Arabidopsis thaliana: one gene and its partners. The protein of the gene in region 1 interacts with the protein of each later gene in a pairwise test. Each region holds a gene or a part of one and is shown in the gene's direction. Other genes may lie near its edges.

What was found. Proteins that work in one complex are often made in the same cells at the same time.
Region 2: the proteins of NF-YC10 (region 1) and NF-YB11 interact in binary tests that used the Arabidopsis thaliana proteins (3 or more experiments, as listed by UniProt).
Region 3: the proteins of NF-YC10 (region 1) and NF-YB3 interact in binary tests that used the Arabidopsis thaliana proteins (3 or more experiments, as listed by UniProt).

What each region holds. Positions count from the first base shown.
Region 1 is NC_003070.9:2,472,600-2,476,777, reverse strand, and holds NF-YC10 (nuclear factor Y, subunit C10), read left to right. Parts: upstream 1-1,649; 5' UTR 1,650-1,867; coding exon 1,868-2,287; intron 2,288-2,730; coding exon 2,731-2,815; coding exon of another isoform or gene 2,816-2,826; exon of another isoform or gene 2,827-3,052; coding exon 3,053-3,094; intron 3,095-3,181; coding exon 3,182-3,255; 3' UTR 3,256-3,613; downstream 3,614-4,178. Other genes in the region: AT1G07985 (uncharacterized protein), read right to left, coding at 836-1,270.
Region 2 is NC_003071.7:11,744,412-11,748,232, reverse strand, and holds NF-YB11 (nuclear factor Y, subunit B11), read left to right. Parts: upstream 1-1,777; 5' UTR 1,778-1,857; coding exon 1,858-2,027; intron 2,028-2,046; exon of another isoform or gene 2,047-2,206; coding exon 2,207-2,325; intron 2,326-2,498; coding exon 2,499-3,037; 3' UTR 3,038-3,252; downstream 3,253-3,821. Other genes in the region: ATCOAE (dephospho-CoA kinase family), read left to right, coding at 1-146; AT2G27480 (Calcium-binding EF-hand family protein), read right to left, coding at 348-458, 556-574, 665-840, 949-995, 1,089-1,422; AT2G27460 (sec23/sec24 transport family protein), read right to left, coding at 3,366-3,577, 3,662-3,821. UniProt on the Arabidopsis thaliana protein: Component of the NF-Y/HAP transcription factor complex. The NF-Y complex stimulates the transcription of various genes by recognizing and binding to a CCAAT motif in promoters.
Region 3 is NC_003075.7:8,342,756-8,345,893, forward strand, and holds NF-YB3 (nuclear factor Y, subunit B3), read left to right. Parts: upstream 1-1,593; 5' UTR 1,594-1,907; coding exon 1,908-2,393; 3' UTR 2,394-2,569; downstream 2,570-3,138. Other genes in the region: AT4G14520 (DNA-directed RNA polymerase II-like protein), read left to right, coding at 1-318; AT4G14530 (agamous-like MADS-box protein), read right to left, coding at 721-1,128. UniProt on the Arabidopsis thaliana protein: Component of the NF-Y/HAP transcription factor complex. The NF-Y complex stimulates the transcription of various genes by recognizing and binding to a CCAAT motif in promoters.

The sequences.
Region 1 (4,178 bases):
TTATAAATTTTACAACGGGATGATGAAGTACAATAAGCAAATCAATTTTGTGGATAAAGAAATGCATATGATTGTCTTAAGTTTGATTTAATGGTGTAGAATAAAAACATATAAAGACAAAAGTTGGTTGAAGTGTCAAACAGAGTGAACTCCGTAAACAGCCTCTTTTTCTTCACACCTTAAGAAACCATAGACGAAAAAAAGTTTACATATTTTTAGAAAATTTTCGATCTTTAAAAAATTTATGAGGAGATTTGTTAACCTTACATAATACTTGACAAGAGAATGATGAAATTTTTTTAGACAAAAAAAAACACGTTGAAAAGTCTCATATATGATGTCACTGATTTTTAGATCAAAATGTTGACACCCCAATTTGATCGGGAAGCAAGAAAACCCGGAGAACAGATATAAAATTAAATTGTTCTATTCTACACAAAACCTTGGGCATTTGTTAAATTTTAACTATTTACGGTTTATTTTAACCATCTCCACTGAGAATTTATCGTTACGTTTATGGAAATGACTACACACATCTTCGTTTTTCTAATCATTTATAGGTGTGTACTTGTTTTTCCTTCAAATTTTCATTGTTTCACTTGAAAAGTGCACTCTGAAAAATAGAAAGTACACTGAAAATTCATTGTTGTTTTCACTTAAAAAGTGCATACTGGACAACAAAAAACCTCAACAAACAAACGATCAAACAAGAGAGTGAGAGACCTAAAGATATTTTTTTCCACTAGCGCTTCAACAAAGAAAAAAGAAGAGAAGCTTTCATTTAAACGTGGTACGTTGAAGTATACATGATGATGTAATAAAGTACTACAATGACTCAACAACGCCAGCTCTTGGAATGGATATTAGTGGGAGAAGAAGATCCAACAACTTTATCAACCAGCTTCCTCAATCCCTTCTTCTTCTTCGGGGTCTTCTTTTCCTTATCCGTCTTATCTTCTCTCTTCCTCTCTTCTTCAACTTCTTCCTCAAACTGTGAACACAGCTTAAGCACTTGCTCCTCTACATTATTAAGTCTCTCTAGCAAAGTTCCTTTCCGCTCAGTCTCCTCCCTGACTTGTTCCATCGAACGGCAGTGTACCTTCCCTATGCTCCTCGGTGACGACAGATCCATTGACGATGGCTGAGTCCCACTAGATGGAGTCGATGGGCTCGAGCTTCTAGGCGAGCTTCCTTTCATCTCCTCTAACTTCCTCACCATGAAATCAATACGATCCAATCTTGAAAGTATCGGTTCTTCTACAACAGCCATTATTGATAACAAACGACAACGTTTCCAGAAGCTTTGGTTGTGTCGGAATAGTTGAAAGACAGTATCGAAAGCAAAACTCGTCTTCTCTTATTAATAGAGTAATAATTGGAGATTGAAAGAACACGAGCTAGGCCACGTTTAAATATTGCAGAGAGAGTTCATGGAGACTCACACGTGTTGTTGATAACACGTGGTGGTTCCAGCTTGCGGACACCTCTTCTGTCTCATACTCCAACATTACCCATTCTTCCTTATCTAATCCCTAAAATTTCTTTACATTATGTCGGGAACAAGATAATGTATTTTGGATGCTTGTATAAAAACATTATCTTATCCCAAGTACATTTACCCTAATTTATTTATTTCTCCATAAACTATACAATGTTTTACGAGGTGTATGCGAAACAGTGAAAGCATGTCCAATAATTTATTTTGAAGTAGTCGTCATGCATCTTCATTCCTCAACATCACCATGTCCATTCCTTAAATTGATCATATGATAAATGGGCCTAAAAGGCTCAAACAAATAAGCCCATGTAAATATCCATCGATTTATTCAGGCGAAAGGGTGAAACATACTGTAGTTCTAAAAAATTAATGGTGTCGTCAAAGAAACCCAAGGAGAAGAAGGCGAGGAGCGATGTCGTCGTCAATAAAGCGAGTGGTCGGAGTAAACGCAGCTCCGGTTCCAGAACGAAGAAGACGTCGAACAAGGTTAACATTGTGAAGAAGAAGCCGGAGATTTACGAGATCTCAGAATCATCGAGCAGTGACTCTGTGGAAGAAGCAATAAGAGGCGATGAGGCGAAGAAAAGTAACGGCGTCGTGAGCAAGAGGGGTAACGGAAAGAGTGTAGGAATTCCGACGAAGACGAGTAAAAATCGAGAAGAGGACGATGGAGGCGCGGAAGATGCTAAGATCAAGTTTCCGATGAATCGGATTCGGCGGATCATGAGAAGCGATAATTCTGCTCCTCAGATTATGCAGGATGCTGTATTTCTTGTCAACAAAGCCACGGTATAGTACTAATTAGACATATAAATTTAGCTTGAGGAACTTAATTTCACATGGTTTTTGATGAATTTGGGAGTATCAATTGCTAGTCAGTGTTAATTGGGCGTTATAATCTCGCAAATTGCTACAGTAATGAGATTGTTTCTGTTAATTAAGCCGGGAATTAACGTTATTGCTTCATCTCCATGTGTGTTTGATGAAACCGTAGTTACTGTGCTTGATTGTCATAGGTTTAGCTTTTACATCCAGAACTTGTAGACACCTAACACATGAGAAAGTCCTTATATATGATTTAGGTTCATATTTTCAAAGCTTAAGTGATGAGTGTTTAATTTTCCTGTATTGGAACTTGGCATTGTTTTTTCTTTCTTTTGATTTCATCTTGTGTTCATCGAAATTGATGTTCATTGCGTTTACAGTACATTAACTGGTTTTTGTGATTGAAGGAGATGTTCATTGAGCGGTTTTCTGAAGAAGCTTATGATAGTTCCGTCAAGGACAAAAAGAAATTCATCCACTACAAACACCTCTGTAAGCTCTAATCTCGTCCCTATTTGCCAATATCTGGTTACCTCAATACTGAATCCCATGTCGAAAATCTCATGCTGCTGCACCAATTGCTGAACTTAGGATTTCTGGCTTCTGCACAAGGGCCAGTAGTTAGTCTTAGGAAGAGTTTAGATAATGAGTTAATCCGTTCGTATCACTTGCAAGATTTGTTGCACTCCTAACATAATTGATGACACTGTCATTTCTACTCGTTGGCAGCATCCGTAGTGAGTAACGACCAGAGATACGAGTTCCTTGCAGGTACTTAATAACCTCTGAAGTATTCGTTTTATGAGTTCCATGTGGTTTACGAACAGCATTTTAATACCTGTAATATCTTGAATGCAGATAGTGTTCCCGAGAAACTTAAAGCAGAGGCCGCGTTGGAGGAATGGGAAAGAGGCATGACAGATGCAGGCTGAAATAAATCCGGTTGGAATCGAACTGAACCATTTGGATTCAAATTTGTGTCCCTGTCCTGGTTTATACTTCATAGGTTCCATCCGCCCGATCTTCACCTTTCTTATTAACCACTACTGAGATTGCACATATTTGATTTCTAGAATGTATACATTTTTTTTCTTGTTTCAAGTTAAAATTTGTAAGAGTTGTCGGAATTCTAATATCTTTCTTTAGTATCTATATATACATTTTTGCAGCCATTTTGTGAAATAAATTTTGTAGTTGGACTTATTTACAATGGCTGCCACTGGATTTTGATGTTTGTATTTGATAATTAGAAAGAAAATCTTCGAATTAAATATTTGACATTTAACAATCTTTCCAAAATCTCTCCACATTAACTAAACAGAGACAAAATTACAAAATATTTAGACAATGATTCATAAACATATCATAAATAAGATCAACATTAATAAAATAAATGGTTTTTTTTACTGGACGGGTTTGACAGGACGTTACTTAATAATAATTGTAAACTATAAAATAAAAATATTTTATAGTTAGATACAATTTGTAAACTTTTATATATACTAACATTAAAAAATAAATTGTTTCCGCGGTGTACCGCTGAGTTAAAATCTAGTTATAATTATAGGACAATTGGTCAGAAAATATTTAGAAAATATTTTTACCATAATTATTCTTACTAATCAAATTATAATATTAGTAAAACAAGCCAATTATCAAAAAAAGGTTTTTAAAATCATTCTTCTAGACCAATTTGAAAAAACTTTCCACATTTTCTTTTCTTTTTACACATTTTATAATTCTGTTATAAAATAAATAATCCAAAATAAGAGTTTGGGGGTAAAACTAAAAATTCAAATAATATGATGGGTATGAATAAAAATTAGGGTGGGTCCACCAGAAGCAGCGACTGAGA
Region 2 (3,821 bases), on another chromosome or scaffold:
ACCAACAGTTCGAGAAGGTTTTGATTGAAATTAGAAGACCATTGACGTGGATCGAGTTTTGGCGTTCAAGGCAAGGAGCCTTCTCGGTCCTTGGTTCAGTGATTTTAGGATTATCTGTTTGCAAACAGCTCAAAATTGGCTCTTAACATTTCACTTCTGTTACTGCTAAAAAACTTGTTATAATCTTAAAGCTTTGATTTATTATTCTCTTGCTCTCTTCAGCATTAGCTTATTACACTATTCACTAGTTTGAATTCACTCTCCTATTCAGTCAGTACTCAGGCATCTATTATCTATATACAACTTGAATCTGTGATTGAGAAAAAGAAAGAAGTAGCAAGTGACCATTAATCATAGGTGGCGATGAACGGAATGACCATCAACATGAAGACATCGTAAGAGAGCGTTGCGTAGCCTGTGTAACCAGGGTCGTTCTCCCTGAACTTCTCTGTCAATCCCTGTTAATAAGCATACGACACATTTTAAACAATTTCAAGTGGTTTAGATTCATGTAAACACATTGTCGAAATTCTCATGGAGGTTAAAAGATCATACCTTCACAATCATCCCACACCTGCAGAACAAAATGAGGGAAACAAACCGATGATGCTTAGTATACAAATTAAGAACCGCAAGAATCGATGAAAACATACAGAAAACTTACTCGAGGAAGCTGTCGAAACATAGGTCAACAGTTTTGCCAGTCCCATCATCAAACTGAGATACGATAAGCTGGTGAACCGAGGTTGGAAGCACGCACCCGAGATTATAGAAAGCGTCTCTGAGCTGGGTAGAATTCATCTTTCCACTCCTATCTCTATCGTACCTGTTAAATATTGCCTACAAAAGAACACACATTGAAAAGTAACACTCCATTTTTAACTTTTAAGGCATAGAAGAATACACACATTGCCTCAACTAGATTGATCCACATAAGTGTTCACTTACACGCCATTGCGCAAGGCAGTTCCATAACTCAACATACTCCTTAGGACCTACATAAAAAGGTAGAAACATGGCTATTTTGTAACATCATTCATATTTGAAATCAAAAAGCCAATTTCAAAAGCTGCAATAAGTGAATTTACCAAGCCGAAGCAGAGAATCTACAGGAATCTTGTAAATAAACAACAGCAACCTAATCGTTCTGTTACTAATTCCATCGTACCCAGATAACGACAACGCTTGCCGGAGCTCCGATTCTTCGAGAAATCCGCTCCGGTTTCTATCCGCCGACTCAAAGCTCCTCACAATCTCCGGATGCGTTTCCGGGGAAAACATCCCGGAGTAAGAGCTGAATTGCTGAGTTGGTTGATATGATGGATACGCGTAAGTGTATCTACTTTCACCATCGTGCTGCTGCTGAACGAACGATTCTGGTAGCTCCGGTGCCGACGGTGCGTAGGCGTTTGAGTAAGACATTAATCAGAGTATGAAATTCTTAGAAATGGCTCGAATTCGGAGAATCTGGTTATTCGAAGATGTCTCAAATTCCAGAGGTTGAAGACGACTCCGATTCTTATTCGTGTTTTGATCGAATTTATTAGTATTACGATTGGACGGTGAAGATTTAATAAAGGTTATCCAACGGTGAGATTGACAACGTGCTCATAACTCTTTAGTGCTTATCAATTTGAATAATGGGCCGATTTGCTAGTACGATTTGACGGCTAGGATTTTGTCAATCAATCCAACGGGTAATATTGAGCGGCGTGGTCATAACTCTTTAGTGCTTATAAACTTGAATATGGGCTTTTAAATATTTTAATAGGCTGATCAGCTTACTGGGCCGATGTGTTTTGTTGTATTATTAACATAAAGGCGGGAAAGACGGCGACTGAGAGAGAGGAGAGAAGAATGGAGTCGGAGAAAGTGGTGGTGGACGAGCTGCCGCTAGCTATTGTGCGCCGGGTGGTGAAGAAGAAGCTGTCGGAGTGTTCGCCGGATTATGACGTCAGTATTCACAAGGAAGCTTTGCTCGCATTCTCAGAGAGTGCGAGGATCTTCATCCACTACCTCTCCGCCACGTATGTACACTTCACAAACCCTAACTTTTTTTCGAATTTCTGCACTATGATAGTGAATGATTTGGAATGTTCCAAGTTTGGGTTTATGTTAATGTGATTCAATTGATGAATGTTAGTGTTTGTGAATTGTGATCGATCGAATTGATGGATTTAGTTTAATTTGGGGGTGAATGATATAGGGCAAATGATTTTTGTAAAGATGCAAGAAGACAAACTATGAAGGCTGATGATGTGTTTAAGGCATTAGAAGAAATGGATTTTTCAGAATTTTTGGAGCCGCTTAAATCTTCTCTTGAAGGTAAGTGTTTTGTTCGGATGAAGATCCTATTGTCACTATCTGTTGTTACTTTCATGGAGTGTTAGTAGAAATGGCTTAGGTTGTGATTTGTCTTGTTATGGACACTGGCCTAGGTGTGTGCACTTTGAGCTTATGATGTCAATCCTAGTGTAATCCACATGACTGGTTTTCAGATTTTAAGAAGAAGAATGCGGGGAAAAAGGCGGGTGCTGCAGCTGCTTCGTATCCTGCTGGTGGAGCTGCTTTGAAATCTTCAAGTGGAACTGCTTCGAAGCCCAAAGAGACGAAGAAGAGGAAACAGGAAGAACCATCTACGCAAAAGGGTGCAAGGAAAAGCAAAATAGATGAGGAAACTAAGAGGAATGACGAGGAGACTGAGAATGACAACACGGAAGAAGAGAATGGAAACGATGAGGAGGATGAGAATGGAAACGATGAGGAAGATGAGAATGACGATGAAAATACAGAAGAGAATGGGAATGATGAGGAGAACGACGATGAAAATACGGAAGAGAATGGGAATGATGAGGAGAACGAGAAGGAGGATGAGGAAAACAGCATGGAAGAGAATGGGAATGAGAGCGAAGAGAGCGGGAATGAGGACCATAGCATGGAAGAAAATGGGAGCGGGGTTGGTGAAGATAATGAGAACGAGGACGGGAGCGTAAGTGGAAGTGGTGAAGAGGTAGAGAGTGATGAAGAAGATGAATGAACTCAAGGTTATATTTTTGCTAAGAACATGTTTTCAGGTTTATGTTGGAGATTAGCTTGTAAGCTTGAAGCAGTGGTTGTGGCCATGAGCATGTAATAGACTAACATATCTTTTTGCTCTTTGGCTCTAGTGTTACCAAATATGTAAGTCAAAGTTTAGAAAATGAAGTTTTGCAACAAAATTTTAGCTTAATTATTCATTTTGATTAAGAGAGCAAAAAAGTTGGGATGCTAGTCTAAAGCAAATGTTACAACAAGAAGAGTAAAACTCTGACACAGTTGAAAATTTTGAGTTTGGATGTATAATAAACTAGAGGGTCATTTGGCTTTCACTTCATGTATTCAGTGACACGCTGCGAAATATCATCGAGGAAAGACACGAAACCCATGGCGCTAGCAAAACCATTACCGTCCACATCTTGTTCTTCTATAAGATAGTTCTCAAAGACAGTAGCATCGTCTCGTCCTCCTCGGATAAACACTAGTTTTGGTGTGATGCTCCTTTCTTGCTTCACTTTATTTATGGTCTGCCTCAATAAACCTGTAAGATATAAGTTTTCGAATCAACATAGTCTCAAAGATCTAAAGGTGGTTGAACTGGATTTCATTTGGTGAGAAAACTTACAGTCTTGAGGTGGAGGGAAAGGTATTGACGGGTCTGCTGTTGATGAGTAGAAGACTATCAAAGTGGTATATGCATCTAGGAAAAATATCGGACTACCACTTGTTATCAATGCTGCACGGCTCAACGAATGACGCGGATATGCCAGTGTATCCGGTGTTGA
Region 3 (3,138 bases), on another chromosome or scaffold:
GGGACTGTAAAAAAAGTGTTGTGGAACGGAGCTTTTATCAGGTCAGGACCACTCAGATACGCATACCTCTCACTCTTGAAAATGCCACATTATCATTATGTCCACTCACCATTGTCGGAGGACGAGAAACCGCATTTTCAGAAAGACGACCTCTCAAAGATTGCTGTTGGAGTTGTTGTGCGGTTTCAGGTGTTGGCTGTGCGGTTTAAAGAGAGACCACACAAGAGAAGAAACGACTATTATGTTCTTGCAACTTTGGAAGGCAATGGTTCATTTGGTCCCATCTCTCTTACAGGGTCAGATGAGCCATACATGTAACCCAAACAAGGCACCAAAAGTTAAAAGTCTTTAGATACTTTTTTGCTTTTAGGTTAACCTCAGATTCGTTGGGGTTGTTTCGTGTTAAACTGGATCGACAAGAAATATTTGTAAACAAAGTTGACAGAACCAATTACATTCTATTAATTTCAATTGGTCAATACCGACAGAGTTACATATTGATATAATACTAATACATACAAAAGCATATAAGAAAATTAGTTGCTGAGCTATCTTCAAACTGCATCAATGGTGTGGTAACTCATTGAAAAGGATCATCTTTCATCTAAACCTCTGTGAATCAGACCACAGATTTGGATTTTTCATCACCATCGAGACATCTTCCATCTTCGAATTCATCAAAAGACGAGTCTCAGCAGGCTCTGGATACTCTTGAGTGCTCTAGTAATCGCCATCGATCAAACCCTCGAAATCTATGAGTTGATCAAAATCTAGGAATTGATCAAGATCTATCTCTTGATCTTCCAAGTTTCCTGTAGGTTTGTCGTTACTCTCAAAAATCGCCAAGATCTGATCATCGAATACAACCATCTCCGTTTCTTCTTTGAGACGATCATCATCAGGAACGCCAAAAGTTGCAGAACTTAACTGAAGATTTAGGGTTTCGTGTGAAACAAGATTCTTAATCTTGATGTCGTTGTTAATCTTGACGTCCTCTTGATGATCTCTTCGATAATTATTCACAGATTCCAATTCCTTCAGATCTCTCAACATCGTAGACATCGACTCAATCGCTTTTCTCAACTCCTCCGAATCCTCCGATTTAGCAAGACTCTCGTCTTCCACCATAACTCTAACCCTAGATTCTCTTTACGAACAAGACCCTGATCCTTGAGGAAAGCGGAAACAACAGAATCAACAGAGGAATGGCCGAAGGAGTAGAAGGAGACGTGAGAGTTGGAAGAACAAGGAGTCGTCAAGATCGCAACCTGTGAATCGGAGGAGAGAAGACATAATAGCTCCGCGGCTTTACTGTAAAGACCGGTACGACGTTTGGAGAAACAAACGGCTCGTGACTCTTTCTTCTGAATCTTCTCAATCGAAATTCTTCTCTTTAGTCCTCCCATTCTGCTTTCTTTGATTTCACAGAGATTTTGAGGGACACTACCTCTCTCTCTTTATAGATAGTGTATGTAACAAGAAACCTAGAAACAATTGTATATATAAAAATGTCGGTGGTTTTATAGGAGGGATCTAGGCCCGTATCAGGCCCATTGCAAGAGGAAATTCAAAATTTTGTCTTCTTTTGGCCCAAATCAATTTAATAAAATCTGAATTAGGGGTTTTGTTTTTTGATTTCATGATATAAACGACAAAAACCAAAAGTACATATATAACCAGAACTCAAGAGTCTTTTATAATAAAGGCAAACCGAAAAAACAGAACCGGTTATCAAGTCTCTCTCTTCCTTTTCTATCCAAATAACATCCACTTGTAATAATCTTATCGACAAACAATCGACCTATAACTACCCACGTGTCATCACGATACGATTATTATCCTCTCTGATCCAACGGACCCAAAACATCTATCTCTCTTTCTCGACCTTTTGTCTCCTCGATCTAAAGATGGCGGATTCGGACAACGATTCAGGAGGACACAAAGACGGTGGAAATGCTTCGACACGTGAGCAAGATAGGTTTCTACCGATCGCTAACGTTAGCAGGATCATGAAGAAAGCACTTCCTGCGAACGCAAAAATCTCTAAGGATGCTAAAGAAACGGTTCAAGAGTGTGTATCGGAATTCATAAGTTTCATCACCGGTGAGGCTTCTGACAAGTGTCAGAGAGAGAAGAGGAAGACAATCAACGGTGACGATCTTCTTTGGGCGATGACTACGCTAGGGTTTGAGGACTACGTGGAGCCTCTCAAGGTTTATCTGCAAAAGTATAGGGAGGTGGAAGGAGAGAAGACTACTACGGCAGGGAGACAAGGCGATAAGGAAGGTGGAGGAGGAGGCGGTGGAGCTGGAAGTGGAAGTGGAGGAGCTCCGATGTACGGTGGTGGCATGGTGACTACGATGGGACATCAATTTTCCCATCATTTTTCTTAATTGTAAAATGATAAAAGCAAATTTTCATTTTTATTAATTAATGATATATATATATATATGTTTAACTTTTAGTATAATGTTTACAGAATTTTTTTTTTAAAACTAGGTTCAACCCACTAACGTAACAAAATAAATATTAAATTTATGATTCGTAAGGTTAGGGTGTTACTTTTTTCAAAAAAAAAGAATAAAAGAAGGTTAGGGTGTTTATTCGTGAAAGATGAAAGTAACAAAAGTAAACTAGGATATCGAAGTTTATGGTTGAATTAGGAGGAAAAATCAAATGAGAGAGACATACATTTTTTTTAGAGTAAAATGTTTCCTAAAAAATTGTAGTGGGAATATAATTATAGCATCAAGCTAAAAAGAGTCATTGAAAAACTTTTTCTACTTTGATGCAGGGAACATGAGATGTAATCAAGGGCATATCTAAAACGTAACCTTTGATCTTTGATCTTTGATCTTTTTTTTTTTTTTTTTTTTTTTTGAAATTCAGGAGGTTCTGGGCCGAAGCCCGTAATTCCTCCAGGCCCGAAACCACAGCATGTAATATTAGTTTTTCTTTTAAAGTGTTGTGATGCGAAAATTTCATATTTGAGTCCAGGTTTTTAAGAGCTTGGGTTTTCCATTAGTCCATGTTATGCCACAAATATTCAAAGATTTTTTCTTACAAGCAATACTCAAATATCAAAACTAAGTTTCTATCAAAAAACTAAACAAAACATCAGCCAGGTAAAATCAGGAA